Linked DNA regions of Canis lupus familiaris. The protein of the gene in region 1 interacts with the protein of each later gene in a pairwise test. Links are inferred from orthologs where the notes say so. Each region holds a gene or a part of one and is shown in the gene's direction. Other genes may lie near its edges.

The links.
Region 2: the proteins of CPT1B (region 1) and TEX44 interact in binary tests that used the Homo sapiens proteins (3 or more experiments, as listed by UniProt). The two-hybrid records come from large-scale screens. The link is inferred for Canis lupus familiaris from reciprocal best matches to the Homo sapiens genes CPT1B and TEX44.

What each region holds. Positions count from the first base shown.
Region 1 is NC_049231.1:17,644,526-17,654,205, forward strand, and holds the end of CPT1B (carnitine O-palmitoyltransferase 1, muscle isoform), read left to right. Parts: coding exon 1-182; intron 183-305; coding exon 306-407; intron 408-593; coding exon 594-731; intron 732-816; coding exon 817-894; intron 895-1,649; coding exon 1,650-1,757; intron 1,758-1,828; coding exon 1,829-1,913; intron 1,914-2,478; coding exon 2,479-2,674; intron 2,675-2,964; coding exon 2,965-3,150; intron 3,151-3,228; coding exon 3,229-3,334; intron 3,335-3,417; coding exon 3,418-3,534; intron 3,535-3,805; coding exon 3,806-3,970; intron 3,971-4,038; coding exon 4,039-4,173; intron 4,174-4,260; coding exon 4,261-4,413; intron 4,414-4,887; coding exon 4,888-5,001; intron 5,002-5,417; coding exon 5,418-5,510; intron 5,511-5,649; coding exon 5,650-5,733; 3' UTR 5,734-6,007; downstream 6,008-9,680. UniProt on the Homo sapiens protein: Catalyzes the transfer of the acyl group of long-chain fatty acid-CoA conjugates onto carnitine, an essential step for the mitochondrial uptake of long-chain fatty acids and their subsequent beta-oxidation in the mitochondrion.
Region 2 is NC_049246.1:43,632,623-43,642,727, forward strand, and holds TEX44 (testis-expressed protein 44), read left to right. Parts: upstream 1-4,427; 5' UTR 4,428-4,481; coding exon 4,482-5,609; 3' UTR 5,610-5,745; downstream 5,746-10,105.

The sequences.
Region 1 (9,680 bases):
TCTTCTTCTTCCGCCAAACCCTGAAACTGCTTCTTTCCTACCACGGTTGGATGTTCGAGATGCACGGCCAGACCAGCCACTTCACCAAAGTCTGGGCTGTGAGCAGGAGCCGGTGGAGGGGTTCAGGCATCTGGTTTGAGACTCTGGGGACCTCATTTGGGGTTGTAAGCTGGGAGAGGCAGGTGGGGCACTGGCACCTGGTGCGTGGGTTTGTCCTGGTTCTGAGGGTTGGGGGCCCAGCTCCTCAAATGTGGCTGTTTCTGTTATTTCCCCTGGTTCTCACCAGAAACATTCTGTGTGCCCAGATCTGTGTCCGCCTGCTGTCCAGCCGGAGGCCCATGCTCTACAGCTTCCAGACATCCCTGCCCAAGCTTCCTGTGCCCAGCGTGCCGGCCACAGTTCAGCGGGTGAGGGTTCGGGTCAGACATCCCAGTGGGGCAGGCTAAGCTGGACTGCAAGGACTTCTCCAAACATCAGGGACCATCCCCTGCAAAGAGCGGGGTTGAGAGCCATGGGGCCGGGTTGGCAGGGGGGCAGGACAGAGGCGGTCATTGCTGTTTGGCCCCCACGCTGACAATGACTTGGCTGGACAGTACTTGGAGTCTGTGCGGCCCTTGCTGGATGATGAGGAATACTACCGAATGGAGGTCCTGGCCAAGGAATTCCAGGACAAGACCGCCCCCCGGCTGCAGAAGTACCTGGTCCTCAAGTCATGGTGGGCAACCAACTATGTGAGTCCCCTCTTGGGCTTACCTCACCCTCCTATGTGTGTGTGGGGGGGGTCCCCTGCCTCTGACCCCTCCCTTCCTTCCGCAGGTGAGTGACTGGTGGGAAGAGTATGTGTACCTGCGCAGCAGGGCGCCTCTCGTGGTGAACAGCAACTACTATGTCATGGTGCGAGCGGGCCCGGGGGGGCGGGGAGGTTGGGGGAGATCCTGGAAGAACAGTCAGGGCAGCCGGGCTCCTGAGGACCCACAGCCTGACACTGTCACTCTCCGAGTCCCCCGGGCTCACTGCCTGGCCCAGCCCAGGAACTGGCCCTTCCCGCCATGGCTCTGTTGCTGGCATCCCAGCCGCAGGTTCCCAACCATCCTGACACCACCACCAGGGAGCTTCTCCTTTCGTGCCTTCCCTTTGTGTCACTATGTGAACCCAGAGCTGCTTCTCTCAGAGCTCAGCCCCTTGCCCCGCGACCAGCTCTTCTCCGGCTCCCAGCACCTGAGGTGCCCAGTCAGCCAGGTGTCCCCACAGCCCAGCCACGGGGCTCCATAGCGTGCCTCTCCTTTCCCGCGGTCTCCCGCTGTCCAGAGCTGTTCCGAGTCACGTGCCCATGTCCCCTCCCCCACAAAGCTGCCCCCCCCCGCCCCACGACGTACATACAACTTGCCTGCAATAGGTTTTAAACTATTTCTCAATGCAAAATAAAACATGAACAAAGTAGGTCATGAAAAAGCTCAAAAGATTCCAGCTGAGCTGAGGGGCGATGTGCTGGGTCACAGGTCCATCTGTGGCAGCGCATGCTGAACACAGGTGCAGGGTGGCCTGGGGAAGGGAGTCAGGAGCCCCGGGGCCTCAGGCAGGGAGACCCAGGCAATAGCAGCCCAGAGAGATCATGGCACGGCACCTGAGGCTCTGCTCTGTCTCCGCAGGACTTCGTGCTCATCAAGAATACAAACATCCAGGCAGCCCGCCTGGGCAACGTCGTGCACGCTATGATCATGTACCGCCGTAAACTGGACCGCGAGGAGATCAAGCCTGTGAGTTGTGTGAGGCGGGCGGCGCAGCCAGGAGAGACGGCCGCATCTGAGCTGCGCTGGCCTCCCCCCAGGTGATGGCCCTGGGCATTGTGCCCATGTGTTCCTACCAGATGGAGAGGATGTTCAACACGACCCGGATCCCGGGCAAGGAGACAGGTACTGGGCCACAGCCAGGTGTCCGTGCTCGTGCTCGTGCTGTGCTGGGGCCGTCAGGACCGAGTCCCCCCACCCTCCCAGCTCGGGGCCTGCATGCTAGGTGCCCTCCAATCTGCTCGTCATCACCAAATGTCCCAGGTATCTCAGGGTCAAGTAACTGTGACAAATGCTTGGTTTGTGAGCCGTCCCAGACACCACGTGTCCGCAGGCCTGATGCCAGTGCTGGGACCCTGCGAGCCAGGCAGGTGGCCTGGGTAAGGAGAGCAGGAGGGGTGGAGCTGCAGAGCAGGAGGGGCTGTGTGCTGCGGGTCCAGCTCCCGACACTGGGACAGTGTGTGTAATTTCCTAGAGCTTCAGCTTCCTCTTCTGTGAAGTGTTTCCTAGGACTGTTGGCATTGCACAAGAGGTACGGGAGCCCGGCACAGGGCCTGGCTCGATGGCGGCACCGCCACAGCCCCGCACAGGGGAAGTCCAGGTGGAGGCCTGCAGCACAGGGTGGTGCGGGAGCAGGGAGGTGCGCCCGGCCCAGGCCTCAGCCCCTGCCCCCTGCCGGCTTCTGCCCCAGACCTGCTGCAGCACCTGTCGGACAGCAGGCACGTGGCTGTCTACCACAAGGGCCGCTTCTTCAAGCTGTGGCTGTATGAGGGCTCCCAGCTGCTCAAGCCCTGCGACCTGGAGCTGCAGTTCCAGAGGATCCTGGACGACCCGTCCCCGCCCCAGCCCGGGGAGGAGAAGCTAGCAGCGCTCACGGCCGGGGGAAGGTACCAGCACCCCACGGGGACAAGGGCCCACGCGCAGGGCACCCAGAACCTGGGCCCAGTGGCCTGGCAAGGGGCATGCCCACCGGCAGGGCGCCCCCTGTCTGGGGTAGGACCCTCTGTAGCCGGGGGCACTGGTGGCCATGGCGGCGTCTAGCCACGTCTGACTGGGTGGAGGTGGAGCAAGTGGGGCAGGGATTCCTCCCGGACGGTCCTGCCAGGTCCGGGGTGGGGGGGGGGGGTCCTCCACCGCCCACAGGGACCCCACTGCCCTCCCTGCCCTTGTGCCCCAGACTGGAGTGGGCACAGGCGCGCCAGGCCTTCTTCAGCTCCGGCAAGAACAAGGCTGCTCTGGATGCCATCGAGCGAGCTGCCTTCTTTGTGGCCCTGGACGAGGAGTCTCACCACTACGACCCCGAGGATGAGGCCAGCCTCAGCCTGTACGGCAAGGCCCTGCTGCACGGCAACTGCTACAACAGGTGTGACACCCTGGCCGTGGCCCTCCACCGGCCTCCCCATTCCGCGCCCGCCTGCATCTCCCGCCTCCCCTCCTGCAGGTGGTTCGACAAGTCTTTCACGGTCATCGCCTTCAAGAACGGCCAGCTGGGCCTCAACACAGAACACGCGTGGGCAGACGCCCCCATCATAGGGCACCTCTGGGAGGTGATGGGCCAGGGAGGGGTCCTGTGGGGCCGGCTGGGTGTGGGGCACGAGGCTGGCTCCTCAGCCTCCCCTTCTCCCTGCAGTTTGTCCTGGGTACTGAGACCTTTCACCTCGGCTACACGGAGACTGGGCACTGCCAGGGCAAAGCTAACCCCGCGCTGGCCGCTCCCCAGCGGCTGCAGTGGGACATCCCTGAGCAGGTGTGTGGCCAAGAAGGGACAGGGATGGGGGGCACTCTCAGGGGGAAGGGACAGAGCTTGTCAGAGTCCAGGGAGGTCCTGGGACCCTCTGGTGGCCAGTGAGCGACCTGGGCGTGACCCTGGCCCATGGAGCATCTGCCGGCCTCCCGGCCCAGGCCCCTCAGGGGGTCTCCCGTGTTTGTGGATGTGTCGTCCCCTCCAGGCCTCCCCCTGACCCTGCAGCCCCGCGTGCCGAGCTCTGCCCCCAGCTGACCTCTCCCTCTGCTGGCAGTGCCGAGCGGTCATCGAGAGCTCCTGCCAGGTGGCCACGGCACTAGCCGACGACGTGGAGCTGTACTGCTTCCAGTTCCTGCCGTTCGGCAAAGGCCTCATCAAGAAGTGTCGCACTAGCCCGGACGCCTTCGTGCAGATTGCCCTGCAACTCGCCCACTTCCGGGTAGGGGCCGGGCCGCGGGGGCAGGGGGTGCAGCCTCAGCGGCCGCACTCACCCCCTGCACCCCCCAGGACAGGGGCAAGTTCTGTCTCACCTACGAGGCCTCCATGACCAGGATGTTCCGGGAGGGACGGACCGAGACCGTGCGCTCCTGCACCAGCGAGTCCACAGCCTTCGTGCAGGCCATGGCAGAGGGGTCCCGCATGGTGAGCGCCCGGCTCCGCCGCCAGCCACTTAGGGGCCAGGCCACTCCTCACCGCCCCACCCCTCACCGCCTCACCTCTGCCCCCCAGAAAGCTGACCTCCGAGACCTCTTCCGGAAGGCTTCCAAGAAACACCAGAATATGTACCGCCTGGCGATGACAGGGGCTGGCATAGACAGGCACCTCTTCTGCCTCTACGTGGTCTCCAAGTACCTGGGGGTCAGCTCCCCTTTCCTGGCTGAGGTCAGCATGGTTGGTGGCGGTGTCCCCTGTCCCCTGCCCTGCAGCTGCCCTCCCCGTGGCCCGTCCAGGCCTGGGGGCCTGGTTCTGAGCAGCAGTCTCCCCTTGTGGAGCTGCCGTTCTCATGAGCGTGGACAGACAGACACGTGGCTGTCGGGTGCTGACAGCACTCGGAGGCAGAGAGGGGAGGCAGAGGGTTGGGGTGAAGGGGTCCTCCAGTGTCCACACACTGGGGCAGGGGCACAGCAGCCCCAGGGGAGGGAGCAGAGCCCAGGGAGAGACAGGCTGGTAGGACGGGCCGAGGGGACCGTCAGGTCACAGGGGCCTTGGGGGTTCTACGCAGCTGCGTCACCCTGAGAACAGACGGGGAGTCTGCGCACCCGCTCAGGCTGTTGTGCAGGCACCACCTGCTGACAGGGACGTGCCAAGCGCAAGGCAGTTCACACAGGTGTGTCTGCGGTGGCCTCTCTGTTGCAGGTGCTCTCGGAGCCCTGGCGCCTCTCCACCAGCCAGATTGCTCAATTCCAGATCCGCATGTTCGACCCAGACAAGTACCCCAAACACCTGGGCGCCGGTGGTGGCTTTGGCCCTGTAAGTGCTCTTGGAAGGGCACAGGGGAGCAGGACTGGGCCCCAGCATCTCAGGGGGAGGAGGGCCCTGAAGTCAGGCAAGGACAGTGGGCAGCTATTACCCGGGCACAGGCTGCAGCCGCCTACACGACACCCCGCGGCAGCACAACCGACCGGGCCCAGGACTGGTCGCTGCCCTCACGGTGCAGAGCCCGGGTCCCCCACCGTACGCCAGGGCTGGAGACACTCGGGGAGAGGCAGCGATCTCAGGCCTCCTGGGACAAACACTGCCCTGGATCCCGGTAGCACCTGTAGCTGCAGGGGCAGAGCTCCTCCCAGCAGTGCCCCTGACCTCAGGAATGAACCCCTTCCCGGGAATCTGGGGACAGCAAGCCCTGCAAGGCTCGTTTCCTTCTCTACCATCTGTGCTGTTCTCAGGTGGCAGACGATGGCTACGGGGTTTCCTACATGATCGCGGGCGAGAACACCATCTTCTTCCACATCTCCAGCAAGTTCTCAAGCTCAGAGACGGTGAGTCTCTCCTGCCCCTGCTCAGGCGGAGGAGGAGGTGCCCCCCAGAGCCCTGTGGGCTGGGGACGAGCCCTGGGTTGCAGGGACAGAGAGACAGGGGCTCCCTGCCAGGGTTGGTCTGAGCTCTTGGCTCCCGCAGAACGCCCAGCGCTTTGGAAACCACATCCGCCAAGCTCTGCTGGACATCGCTAATCTTTTCCAAGGTCCCAAGGCTGACAGCTGAGGGCTGGAGACAGGCCAGCTGCCCTGTCATCCCTGCACTGTGGAGGAGGGGGCCCATGGTTGGCTCGAGGCACAGGGGTGGCCATGCACGGGTGCCCAGGCTCCAAGGACACCTCCGGCAGCAGGCCCTCCCCAGGCAGATGCTGCTCCCTGAGGGCCCAGGCAGTGGAAGTGGGGTTTAGCACGGGGGCGGGGGGTGGTGGTGGTGGTAGAAATTCTGGTTTTCTTTTTCTTGCTAATAAAGATACTAATAAAGATAAATCTCTGTAATTCTCTCCTGGCATTTGGGTACCTTTGTTTGGGAACTAGGGGCCCCTCCGCTGCCAGAGCTCAGGCCAGAGAAGTAGCAGAGGGAGGAGACGGGGCTGGGAGACCAAGAGGCTTGTGACCTACTTTGAAAGGCACGTCTCTCCTGAGGTCAGCACTGTCCACACCCACTTGGAATAAATCTTGCTTCAGAACCTTCACCTGTTCCCCGGGGCCACTCGTGGTCTGCCAGAGAGTGGGGCCCAGCTGCCTCGTCCACGAACACCTCTGGGCTGGAACACCGCCCTGTGGCGGCCCACGGCCTCCTCCTGGCTGTAGGGAAGCTGCAGTGCAGGCCTGCGGCCAGCACGCCACGTGGCCTTGCTGTGAGATGGCAACACATGCTCTTTCCCTCACGTTGGCTTTTTATAGTAGAATAACATTAAAAGTAAATATCTTTTATAGAAGTAGAAGTAGGTGCTTCATCAGTGTCGTGGCCTGCGAGAATGCTCACCCAGCCCCGGGAGAGCAGTGAGCAGAGTCTCCCAAAAAACTGGCTTTTAATTAATGTTGAAATCCAACGTTGTTTTTTTTTGTTTTTTGTTTTTTTGTTTTTTTAATTGGATTGTTCTTGGTTCAAATAAGAGGAGAAACCAAAATGTTAAACCAAGGTGACCACCCATCAAGCCTCCAAATAAGCTTCTTGTCCCCGCCGGGTTTCCAGATCTGTAACTCGTGAAGGCCACAGCCAGAACACACAAATCCTGACACCTTCACGGCTTCACCCAATAGAGGCTCTGCTCCACACCACTCTTGAAAGGCCGGCTGGCGGAAGCCCAGGCCTCCCTCCTCGATAGGTCCAGGTCGTCTTGGACACCAGCATCCAGCAGGGCCCCGGGGGATGGGCTCACACACCTCTCCTGCTGTGCAGGGCGCCCCGGGCCTCCCAGCCCAGCCCTGACCTCCTCACGAATCCATCCCTAAGAGGCAGGCCTTTCCACACCCTTGCCTTCCATGAAACTTTTGCCTGGAATCCGGTGTTGCTTCTGGTGAAGCCCAAGCGGTCGCCCCCGAGGTTGCCTTCACCCCGTTTCCCAGCGGCGGGCAGCCCATGCGCAGGAGGCCCCCAGGTAGGGCGGACGGCCGGGCCAGGCGCCGAGGGCCCGGGCTGCACAGCTGCGCACGGCCTGGCCACGTCTAGCCGCGTCTCCTACTCTGCCCGGGGGCGAACCCGGTGGGTGCCAGGCTCATCCCGAATCCCAGCCGCAGCTGCGCACCTTCCGGACGGGCCTCGCCCACCGGCCCACCTGAGCCAGGGGCGCTCCCTCGTCTGCAGGCCCCGCCAGGGCTCCCTGCTCAGCAGCCACCGCCACCCCCGTGGGCAGGTGCGCACCTCCCGAGGGTCAGCTTCCTGCAGGCGGCCCCTGAGCTCACTGAGCAATGCCCACCAGCACCTGCGGCCCTCCGGGCCCTGCGCTTCACCCCCACACTACGCCGAGCCGACCAGGCCGGTCGGACCCCCAGGGCACCTGCGCTCCCACCGCGCTCTCCCGCCACCTGCCACCTCCGCCAGGGCTCGGGCCACCCAGACACCGCAGGTGAGACCCGCCCGGGCGGCCCCCCTCCTTCCGCCCTAGAGACCAGCCAATGAGGCCTCGAAACCGACCCTCACGTGTCTGCGGCTCCACCCCTTCCGCTCCGGCAGACGGGCCAATGAGGGCGAGAAGCCGCCTGGGGGGGGCGGGTCTAGTAACGGAAAGGGGCGGGGCGCCGTGCCTGCTCGGCCGCGTGTCCCCAGCAGTGGCGGCGGCGCAGGTGGGCGGTGGATCCACGCTAGCGTGGGCGGTGCCAAAGGTGAGCGAGGCCGGCCCTCCTCGGCCCGGGCCCCCCTGCGTGCCCCGACTCCCGGCCCTGGCGTCCCCGAGCTGTGCCCGCCGCCCCTGCCGCCCTCACCCCACACCCCGCCGTGGCGGCTGTCACCCGTCTCCCCGCCCCCACACCCTCCGCACCCCTTTACCCCCCACCCCTCCCTGCCCCGCACACCACTCCCTGCCCCATACCCCCTCACCTGCATGCCCCCACACCCGCACCCCCACCCCCCTCGCCCCCCCGCACCCCTTTACTCCCACCCCCCGCCCTGCCCCCATACCCCTCTCACCCCCATGCCCACACGCCCGCACCCCCCTACCCCTTTGCCCCTCCCCCCCTCCCCCCACGCCCCTCCCTGCCCCCACACCCCTCCCCCTCACACCCCCTCACCTCCCCACATCCCCCTCTCCCCACCTCTCCTTGCCCCCTCACCCCCCACACCTTTACCCCCACCCTCCCTGCCCCCATACCCTCTCACCTCCATGCCCCCACACCCCTCGCCTCCACACTCCTCCCCCCACACCCCACCCCCCACCCCTTTATCCCTCACTCCTCACTGCCCCCCACACCCCTCCCCGCCCCCATACCCCTCTTACCCCCATGCCCCCTCACCCCGCCCCTCCCTGCCCCCCACACCTCCTGCCCCCACCCCTCCACCCCCCTCGCCTCCCTCACCCCCACATCCCCTCCCCACACACCCCTCCTGCCCCCATACCTCCTCACCTCCCCACATCCCCCTTACCCAGCCCCTCACTGCCTCCACACCCCTCCCTGCCCCCATACCCCCTCACCTCCCCACATCCCCCTTACCCTGCCCCTCCCTGCCTCCACACCCCTCCCTGCCCCCATATCCCCTCACCTCCCCACATCCCCCTTACCCAGCCCCTCACTGCCTCCACGCCCCTCCCTGCCCCCATACCCCCTCACCTCCCCACATCCCCCTTACCCAGCCCCTCACTGCCTCCACACCCCTCCCTGCCCCCATATCCCCTCACCTCCCCACATCTCCCTCCCCCCCACCCCTCCCTGCCCCCCACACCGCAATTCTCTCACCCCCCAGCTCCTCCAGCCCCCACACCCTGCACATTCCAGACCCTGGACTTTCACAGACAACCCGACCCCCTGGCCTGTTGCCTGCACACCCAGAGCACCTGCACTGCGCTCCCCACGCACTCCAGCCCCGCCATCTGTGCATGGGGGCTCCCAGAGCCTCCAGTCCCTTGGACGCCAGGACTCCTGCTACTCCCGTGGGGCTCACACGTGGGCCTCTCACAAAGAATCTTTGACCCCGGAGCCCCTCTTGTCCTCTCCGAGTTCTTGTTTCCAGGGGGATCCCAGCCGCCACCAGGGATCAGACCAGACCCTGAGGCTACAGCCAGGCCTCAGAGCCCTTGAGCCCGCACCTCCCAGGACCCCTGGGACCTCAAGCCCTTCCTCCCACAGTGACCGCCCCAGCAGTCCTCTCCACACCCCCTCTGCTCACCAGAGCCCATTAGTCTGCTCTTGCTCTAGTTGCCTTGGGCTGCGGCCCTGGTCCCACCCCCCACTTTCTTTCTTTCTTTCTTTCTTTTTTTTTTTTTTTAAGATTTTATTTATTTATTCATGCGAGACACAGAGAGAGAGAGGCAGAGACACAGGCAGAGGGAGAAGCAGGCTCCATGCAGGGAGCCTGATGTGGGACCCGATCCTGGGATCACGCCCTGAGCTGAAGGCCGATGCTCAACCGCTGAGCCCCCCAAGCGTCCCTCGCACCCCTTTCCACTGAGTCTTTCTCACCTGCAGCAACCTCATCAGGAAGGAAAGCCATGGACTCCGATCCCCTGGTCTTCCTCC
Region 2 (10,105 bases), on another chromosome or scaffold:
GCACACTTGCTGAAAATGGAAAGATACTCCAAAAAGGAGGGGGGAGCCTGGGTGGCTCAGTCGGTTAAGTGTCTGACTCTTGGTTTGGGCTCAGGTCCTGATCTGAGTCATGGGATCGAGCCCTGCACTCAGCATTGAGTCTGCTTGTCCCTCTTCCTCCCTCTTTGCTCCTTCTCAAATAAATAAAAGCTTAAAAAGAAAAAAAAAAAGGAAAGATATTCCATGTTCATGGTTGCAAGAATTAATATTGTTAACATGGGGGCACCTGGCTGGCTCAGTTGGTAGAGCATTTGAGTCTTTTTTTTTTTTATTATTTTTTAAAATTTATTTATTCATTAGACAGAGAGAGAGAGGCAGAGGGAGAAGCAGGCTCCATGCAGGGAGCCTGATGCAGGACTCAATCCCGGGGCTCCAGGATCATGCCCTGCGCTAAAGGCAGGCCCTAAACTGCTGAGCCACCCAGGGATCCCTGAGCGTTCAAGTCTTAATCACGAGGTCCTGAGTTCAAGCCCCATGTTGGGCTGAGAGCTTACTAAAAAATTAGCAAAATAATTATTTTTAAAAAGATTGTATTTATTTATTCATGAGAGAGAGGCAGAGACACAGGCAGAGGGAGAAGCAGGCTCCCTGCAGAGAGCCCGATGTGGGACTATGATCCCAGGACTACGGGATCATGACCTGAGCCAAAGGCAAAAGCTCAACCACTGAGCCACCCAGACATCCCTAACAAAATAATTATTGTTAAAATGTCCATAGTGTCCAAAGCAATCTACAGATTCAATGAAATCCTTATCAAAATACCAACAGAGGGGATCCCTGGGTGGCGCAGTGGTTTGGCGCCTGCCTTTGGCCCAGGGCGCGATCCTGGAGACCCGAGATCAAGTCCCACGTCAGGCTCCTGGTGCATGGAGTCTGCTTCTCCCTCTGCCTGTGTCTCTGCCTCTCTCTCTCTCTCTCTCTGTATGACTATCATAAATTTAAAAAAAAAAAAAAAAAAAAACCAACAGAGGGGCACCTGGGTGGCTCAGTTGGTTAATCGTCTGCCTTTGGCTCAAGTCATGATCCCACGGTCCTAGGACCAAGTCCCACACTGGGCTCCCTGCTCAGCAGGAGTCTACTTCTCCCTCTCCTTCCACTCCTCCCCACTGCTCATGCTCTCTCTCTCTCTCTTTCAAATAAATAAAATAAAATCTTAAAAGAAAATACCAACAGCATTTTCCCACAGAACTAGAACCAATAATAGCAAAATTTGTATGGAACCACAGAGGACCCCAAATAGCCAAAGCAATCTTGAAAAAGAAGAACAAAGCTGGGCATCACAATCCCAGGTTTTAAGATATACAACAAAGCTTTGGTAATCAAAACAGAAAATAGAGCACTTGGGTTGCTCAGTGGTTGAACATTTGCCTTAGTCTCAGGTTGGATCCCGGGGTCCTGGGATCAAGTCCCACATCAGAATCCCCATGGGGAGCCTGCTTCTCCCTCTGCCTATGTCTCTGCCTCTCTCTGTGTGTCTCTCATGAATAAATAAATAAAATCTTTTAAAAAATAAATAAATGGTGCTGGGAAAACTGGATAGCTACATGCAAAAGAATGAAATTGGACCACTTTTTAACATGATACACATACAAAAAAACCTCGCAAGATGTAAAGAGCTAAGTGTGAGACCTGAAACCATAAAAAATCCACACTTTCTCATTCTTTGCAGTATGGATAGACTGAGAATTTTCCAGATCTTTAAGTTCTAATTCCCTTTAGCTTAATAATTCCATCTTTAAGTTAGTTCCCTCCTTTCAAAGTCTACTATAAACCATCAAAGCAACCAAGCCACACCTTCAATATTTTGCTTAGAAATTGCTTCAGTTGGGATCCCTGGGTGGCGCAGCGGTTTGGTGCCTGCCTTTGGCCCAGGGCGCGATCCTGGAGACCCGGGATCGAATCCCACATCAGGCTCCCGGTGTATGGAGCCTGCTTCTCCCTCGGCCTATGTCTCTGACTCTCTCTCTCTCTCTCTCTGTGTGACTATCATAAATAAATAAAAAAAAAATTAAAAAAAAAAAAAAAAGAAATTGCTTCAGTTTCTGCTGTTTTCGTGCCACCATAATGGTGCGCATGAGTGTCCTGGTAGATGCTCTCAAGAGCATTAATGATGCAGAAAAGAGAGGCAAATACCAGGTTTTTATTAGGCCATGCTCCAAAGTCATCATCCGGTTCCTAACTGTGATGATGAAGCATAGTTACATTGGAAAATTTGAAATCATTGATTCTCAAGGGGTGGGAAAATTGTTGTGAACCCCACAGGGCAGGTTAAATAAGTGTGGAATGATCAGCCTCAGACTTGATGTACCACCCCAAAGATCTAGAAAAATAGCAGAATAATCTGCTCCTGTCCCACCAGTTTGGTTTCATGGTACTGACAACCCCAGTTGGCATCGTGGACCATGAAGAAGCAAGATGAAAACACACCGGAGGGGGATGCCTGGGTGGCTCAGTGGTTGAGCGTCTGCCTTTGGCTTAGTAGTTGAGTGTCTGCCTTTGGCACAGGGTGTGATCCCGGAGTTCCAGGATCGAGTCCCACATCGGGCTCCTACAAGGAGTCTGCTTCTCCCTCTGCCTGTGTCTCTGCCTTGTCTCTCGTGAATAAATAAGTAAAATCTTTTAAACACACACACACATGCAGGAGGGAAACTTCTGGGATTCTTTTTCTAAGGATGTAATACATACATGTAAATATAATACTTCAATGGGAAAAAAAAAAGGAAGAAATTGCTTCAAATCCTTCCGATTCCATTGCTCACAAACTCTACCTTCCAGAAAACATTAGAACACTATCGCAATTCAGCCCAGTTTTTTTGCCACTTTATAACAAGGTTCACCTTCCCTCCAGTTTCCAATAACACGGTCCTTGTTTCCACCTGAGATCGTATCAAAATGCTTTTACTATCAATAGTAAATTCAGAAAAGAAAAAAAAAAAAAGTAAATTCAGGATTATTGGAGGTTCTCTGAGAAAACTGAGGATTTCACTCCAGAGGTCTCCCTTCCTTTCTAGCTTTCTCCAGAATCATCCTTAAACATCTTCACAGCACTGAGCTTCTCTGAGCCCACAGCTCAGACTCTCCCTGCCTCTGCCCATAACCTAGTTCTAGGGCTGCGTCCACATGTTTAAGTGTTTGCTACAACAGCCCCCTGCTTCTCAGCACAAATTTCTGTCTCAGTCTATTCGGACCACTATTACAGAGCACCATAGACCAGAGCAGGTGGGGGGGCTGCTTATGAACATTGGAAAAAGATTTAAGTAAACTCTATGCCCAACGTGGGGCTCACACTTACCACCCCCAGGATCAAGAGTCACGTGTTCCACTGACTGAGTCACCCAGGCACTCCCAACAGAAACTTATTTCTCACGGTTCTAGAGGCTGGGAAGTCCAAGATCAAGGCCCAGGTGGGTTCAGTGTCTGGTGAGGACCTGCCTCCTGGTTTGTAGATTGCTGCCTTCTGGCTGCATTTCACATGAAGGAGGGCACCAGGCAGCTTTTTATAAGGGCACCGATGCTGTTTGTGAGGGTCCCATCCTCACAACCTAACCACCTCCAAATACCATTACATTGGAGATTAGCTTTCAACCTCTGAATTTTGGGGTGGAACACAAACATTCAGTCTATGGCACCCCACACCAAAGACAGTCATTGGGATGCCTGGGTGGCTCAGCAGTTGAGCAGGCTGCAGGGAGCCTGCTTCTCCCTCTGCCTATGTCTCTCCCTCTCTCTGTGCCTCTCATGAATAAATAAATAAATCTTAAAAAAAAACAAAAACAAAAACAAAGACAGTCATTGCCAGGGGCTGTGCAGGCCCTCAGCCTTCACTCATTTCAACTCACCACTGCTGGGAAACTGACTCTCTGCAGAAAGACTGGCCAAATCAGAGTCCTCAGTCACCAGCATGGACAGACAGGTACTGGGGCTGGCTCCTTAGAATATTTATGATAAATCGACATCTGTGTCCCATGGTTCCTGTGGGCACCAGCACCTGTACCTATATATATCCACTTTTCTCCCAAAACATTTGCCTCTCTTGGGATGCCTGGGTGGCTGAGCAGTTGAGCGTCTGCCTTTGGTTCAGGTCCAGATCCCGGGATCCCGGGATTGAGTCCCACATCAGGTTCCCCATAGGGAGCCTACTTCTCCCTCTGCCCGTGTCTCTGCCTCTCTCTGTCTCTCATGAATAAATAAATAAATAATCTTAAAAAAAAAAAAAAAAAAAAACTTGCCTCTCTTTCATGATGTACCTGCAAACTCAGCTATAGATTGTCCTGCGGACTCAGCCCACTGGGACAGCCACTCCAGAGGCTCAGGACCCTTGCTGTGCAAATAGCTATGACATCACCAGCTGCCTACAGCCCCCTGTGATGTCACCACCTGAACAACTTGGCCCGGCAGGGCTGTGGCCACTCTGCAGCCAGAGCAAGTGACAGAAGACCTAGATGACCACCACGCCCTCGAGAGAGTCCAGAACTGCCAGCATCCCCACAGACGGCAACAGCAGATCCCCAGATGGTCCAGGAGCGGGGTCCCAAAATCAGGTGGGACCAGCGGCTAATGGTGCCATAGCATCACCTGAACAGCAGGATGTAGATCAGGCCTCTGTCGATTCGGTGACCTCCAAACCCACATCAGCATCTGGGGACCAGGACAGCTATGCAGTGGCTGAAGGGCACAGCCAGGAGCCCAGAGAGGCCTCAAACACTCTACAAATGTCCACAAGCCCCCAGGACCCAGCATGGGATAGACAAGGGCAAGATTCCAGGATGATTCAGGGCCTTCAGACCTCCCAACGTGACTCCCTGGCAAGAGAAGAGACCCCACAATCGGCAGGCATCCCGGACAGAGAACAGGAATCAGCCCCAACCACCCCAAGCGCTGAGGTGCAGCCCTCCAGAGCCGTGGATGCCCAGCCCGTGGGGAGCGGGGCAGACACGGCTAGGCAGCCGCGCGGTCAGGACACCAGCGCCACCGAGTCTATGGAGGCAGATCCTGAGCGTCCGGAGCCCGTGAGCCTTGACACCGAAGCTTTGCCAGGAGCTGAGTCCCAGGGAGTGACTGAAGGGGACTTGGGGGAGCGCTCCAGAGACCTGAGGAGGCCTTCAGTGGCCCCAGGAGGCAGTGGCCCGCCCTCGCCCGGCCCCCAAGAGGTGGCCCTGGGGGGGAGGTCCCTCGACTCCAGCCTTTGCATGGCCAACGAGGAGGACAGCTATATGCGCTCCATGACCAGCCTGCTGGGCGGAGGCGAGGGGTCCATCAGCTCCCTGGCAGACGTCCTCGTGTGGTCTGAGACCACCGTGGGCATGGCCTCGGCCCTGCTGGCCTCCGGCCACAGCTCGGTGACAGACCTGCTGCACAGCCCGGGGCCCAGCCTGCGCTCCGTCTCCAGTATCCTGGGGAGCACCTTCTCCTCTGGGCTGATGGCGGGGACCAGCCTGGCCCTGCGCTCTGTCACCCACCTGCTGGAGAGGGTGGAGCAGAGGACCCTAGAGGGCGTCCGCTCGGCCGTGCGCTACCTGACCAGCCACCTCGTTCCCCACCAGGCCCATGCCAGCCCAAACTCCGGCTAGACCCCAATAAGGGAGCCCTCCAGGGGCCGGCTTGGCAGCCTCTGAGAGCCCAGGGCCCCGCATGCCTGCTCCCCTGCCCGCCCCTGCACTGGCCAGCTCTCCCCGGATCAGGCAATAAAGCACTGGAGAGCGTTTATTTTCTAATCACAGAAAGGTGTCCCCCAAGGGCTTCTCGGGTTGTCCCACTGGGGGGCTGGAGGTTAAAGTCCAGAAACAGAATAGCCTAGCAGGACTGGAGGGCCAGGTGTAGGGGTCTCAGACTTGCAGACATTGACTCTGGCTAGACCTCCAACCACGTAAATATGTTCCTGAGGAAGTAAGGCCTGACCCTTCCCCAGGGCCTGCTGGCCTAGCAGGCTGGGGGGTGCCCTACCGGCATCGGGGGCTGTTGGGGGGGACCTGCTGGAGCTCTCTAAGTGGGATTGAGAGGTCAGAGCCAGACCAGTGTGGGTTCACACCCTCATGCTGTTACTGGTCCTGGGCAAGTCACTTCACCCTCTGAATCTCCGGTTCTCCCCAGTAGGATAGATAAGGAATCCATACCATGAGGGTGTTTACGAGATGTAAGGAAAACATTGCAGGGCCTAACACATGGTGTCTGGCACTTAATAAGCTCACACATTACACGTGCCGTTACTATCCTCAGTAGACTGGGGACACGGCAGGAAAAGGGGTCTAGGTAGAGGGACCAACCATCCCTGTTTGCCTGGGATGTGAAGGGTTCCTGGGACATGGGACTTTCAGATTTTAAAACCAGGAAAATCCCAGGCAAACTAGGACAAGCCGGTCACCATAGACCCAGGCTTCTTTATAAATGTCTCTGTTGGAAAGGGAGCACCTGTTGTTGGAAAGCCACCAGCCCACCCTCTGTCTGCATACCGTGCCACACGAGGCAGGTGACTTGGTGAGCAGAGCTCCGGTGGCACATCAACCCCACTCTCGCCCCTGGTGCCTGTGCCAGTCGCACCCTGCACCCCTCCCTGCCTCAGCCCTGGCCGTGGTATCATTCATTCCACCGTCTCCAAGTGGGAGCCCTGGGCTGAAACCGGCTCATCGATGTATTTGCCTGTCCTATACGGTGTTTCTCAAATCTTGTGTTAATTGCTAACACTTAAAAGGCAGGAGATTTTAACATAAAGTGACAGATTAAAAAAATAGATTCCTGCTTCTCTTAAAAAAACCTAGAGGCCTTATTTTTTCAAAGCAACCAGCAGCCCAGCTGCCCTCTTTAGAGAGACCTACCTGGCCTGCAGGGTGATTGATGTCACCTGGCCAGCGCCCAGAGGTGTGCCTTTGCCACCCCTACCCCGCTGATGGCTCCCTCGAGGAAGTGCGATACCAGGCCCCAAGGGGATGCAAAGACAGACCAGGTGTGTCTACCCCCTCTTCTCCAGAAGCTGCTATTTCCAGTAGGTGAGACATGAACTGTCTTCATAGTGAAAGCGAAAACTTCAGGGGAGGAAGATCACCAATTTAGATCCTAGTAATCAGGGTCTTCCAGAGGAGCAACTGAGTCAGATCTGAAAAGAGAGGAGCGGTGGTGTTCCCCGACAGAGGGGACGGGAACACAAGCTGAAGCAGGTGTGGGAGGGCGGTGGGCAGCTCAACCTGAGCTGAACCCAGAGCCGAGAACAGGTGACCAGGCTGCCAGGGTAGACCCCAAATGCTTTCCACAATTTCTGAACCAGGTAAGTGCCACTGTCTGGCAGAGAGAGACTGGCAAGGTGAAGGAAAGATTGGAAGGGACAGAAACCGAACTCAAGCCAGATCAGCTGCTGGGAATAGCCGAAAAGCACCCAGGTGGGAGCTGCTGGACCCAGGCTGGGCCCTGTCCTCAGGGCTCCATCTCTGCAACTTTGCCCCCTGCCCCCGCCCTGCCCCGCCCCAGCAGGCTACTTTCCTGGCGGCTGAGCCACCTTCCTGGAAAGACAGAAGCCTTGTTCTTACCAGCTGTGATGGGTTTGGGCCCCGTGCTCCCTCCGGCACCAATCACTGAGGCTCACGCCCACCTAGGGGAATGGGGGGGGCACCAGGGTCAGCCCGGCAGTGAGGGCTCCCCCTCCACAAGGGCTGCTAGACCAACACCATTTTGCATGTTGAAGAGTTGTAAGAGTGTGCCCTTGGGGGCCCTGCTGCCTCCAATCCTGCTCTACCTCCTATGAACTGTGTTACCTTAATCTCCCTGTGCCTCAGTTTCCTTATCCCTAAAATGTCAATAATAACAGTACCTATGGCATCGGGCAGCCCTGAGGGCCACGTGAGTTTAATGCGTCAAGTTCACAGCACAGTGCCTGGCACGCAGTTGAGTGCTGTGTGTGTTTGCAATCACTGTGATTCTAACTACAGAGGCTTCTATGGAACCATTCATTGCCAAGGACTGACTTTCCCTGCTTGCTCCGGCCTTCCTCTTTACTGCCCAATAAACAGTCATGTTGCAAATCCTCCTGGCAGCACATCTTCTCTGAAGGTGGAACCCCCCACCACCCAGGCATCCAGGTACTAGTGCACCCAGAGAGAAGGCCAGGCGTGCACACTGGGGGCTGAGGGTGAGACATGGACAGAAGTGGGAGCACCCCAGCTCTGGATAAGAAGGCCAGAGCCAGAAAGGAAAGGGCCCAGGCAGGAACTTGGGGGAAAGGCCTGGTTCCCCAAGCAAGAGGGAAGCGGTTCCCGAGACTCAGGAGCAGAGCAGGGGGGTGATCCAGCCTAAGCCCATGCGGGCCTCTGGGTGGCCAAATATGGAACAAGGGAAGCATTACGGGGGAGAAGCAGGTAGTGGGAACAGAAGGTGGCATGGAAGGGGGAGAAAGGAGGAGCAGTGGTCAGAATAATGGGGTGGAGGATGCCTGGGTGGCTCAGCGGTTGAGCGTCTGCCTTTGGCTGAGGGCATGATCCTGGGGTCCTGGGATCGAGTCCCACATAAGGCTCCCTGCATGGAGCCTGTTTCTCCCTCTGCCTGTGTCTCTGCTTCTCTCTGTGTGTGTGTGTGTGTGCGTGTGTGTGTGTGTGTGTGTGTTTCTCATGAATAAAGAAATAAAACCTTTTTTAAAAATTAAAAAAAAAAAAAGAAAGAATAACTGGGCAGCTGAATGGAGTGAACTCTCTGGTGTTGAGAACTGAAGCTTCGACAAAGTCATTAATTCACCCCCACGGAACTGGAACCCCCTCACTCTTTCCCATTTATTTATTTATTTTTAAGGTTTTATTTGAGACAGAGGGAGACAAAGCAGGAGCAGGGTGGGGAGGGACAGAGGGAGAGGGAAAGAAAGAAGCAGGCTCTGAGGGAGCCCCATGGAGTCATGGTCCCAGGGTCATGACCTGAGCCGAAGGGCCCACTCTTTCTCCTTTACATGCCAGAGCTCACACCTGACAACCACCAGCGTTTCTCCAGGATCAACACCCACCCTTTTGGGTGTTTGTCTGCCGCTGAGAGATCGGCCTGCAAGCAGAGGTTCTGCACAGAGACTTTTAGGCCGGGCTGAGTTCCAGGGGGACGGGCCCAACATCGTGACCTCCGAGCCCCACAGGAGCTGCAGCTTGGCAAAGGGAAGGGCGCAGATCAGTCCTGGCCCACAGCAGAAGGGACACTGTGGCCTCTCCCTGTGGCACAGTGGACACTGTGGTGGGTCGTCCATCCCCTTCAATTAAGGACCTGTTCCCCCTGCTGCTGGGGGCGCAGTCAAGGATCAGCCTTCAGTGCCAGCTCCTTCAGAGAGCTGTCCCCCCCATCGTGGCCAAGTCTGGGCCAGAGTCTACGGTATGACTGTCCAACTCCAGCTCTGGAATGCCTGTGGGGCTGGCCGGCGGTGGGGGGGGGAACCTGGGGTTCACGCTGCAGACTCCACTCCCCTCCACCCGCTGGCTCTCAGATCCTGCGTTCCAGAGAACCCAACTTGTGACCAGTTTTGTTCCCATCTAAGATGCGTGGGGCAGGGGGGTGAAGGGGACCTACAAATTAAAACTGTGGCAAAAGTTCAAAGATGTTTTTTTTTTTTTTAAGATTTTATTTATTGGGCAGCCCTGGTGGCTCAGCGGTTTAGCGCCGCCTTCAGCCCAGGGCATGATCCTGGAGACCCTGGATCGGGTCCCACATCGGGATCCCTGCATGGAGCCTGCTTCTCCCTCTGCCTGTGTCTCTGCCTCTCTCTCTTTCTCTCTGCGTCTCTCATGAATAAATAAAATATTTTTTTAAAAAATAAAGATTTTATTTATATGACAGAGTGAGAAAGCACCAGCAGGGGGAGCAGCAGAAGGAGAGGGAGAAGCAGGCTCCCCACCAAGCAGGGAGCGGGATGTGGAGCTTCATGTGGGGTTTGATGGGGGGCTAGATCCCAGGATCTTGGGATCATGACCTGGGCCGAAGGTGGACGCTGAGCTGACTGAGCCAGCCAGTCATCCCCAAAGATGCTTGGTTTTTGTTTTTTGTTTTTTAAGATTTTATTTATTTGACACAGAAAGAGTACAAGCAGGGGGAGCAGCAGAGGGAGAGGAAGAAG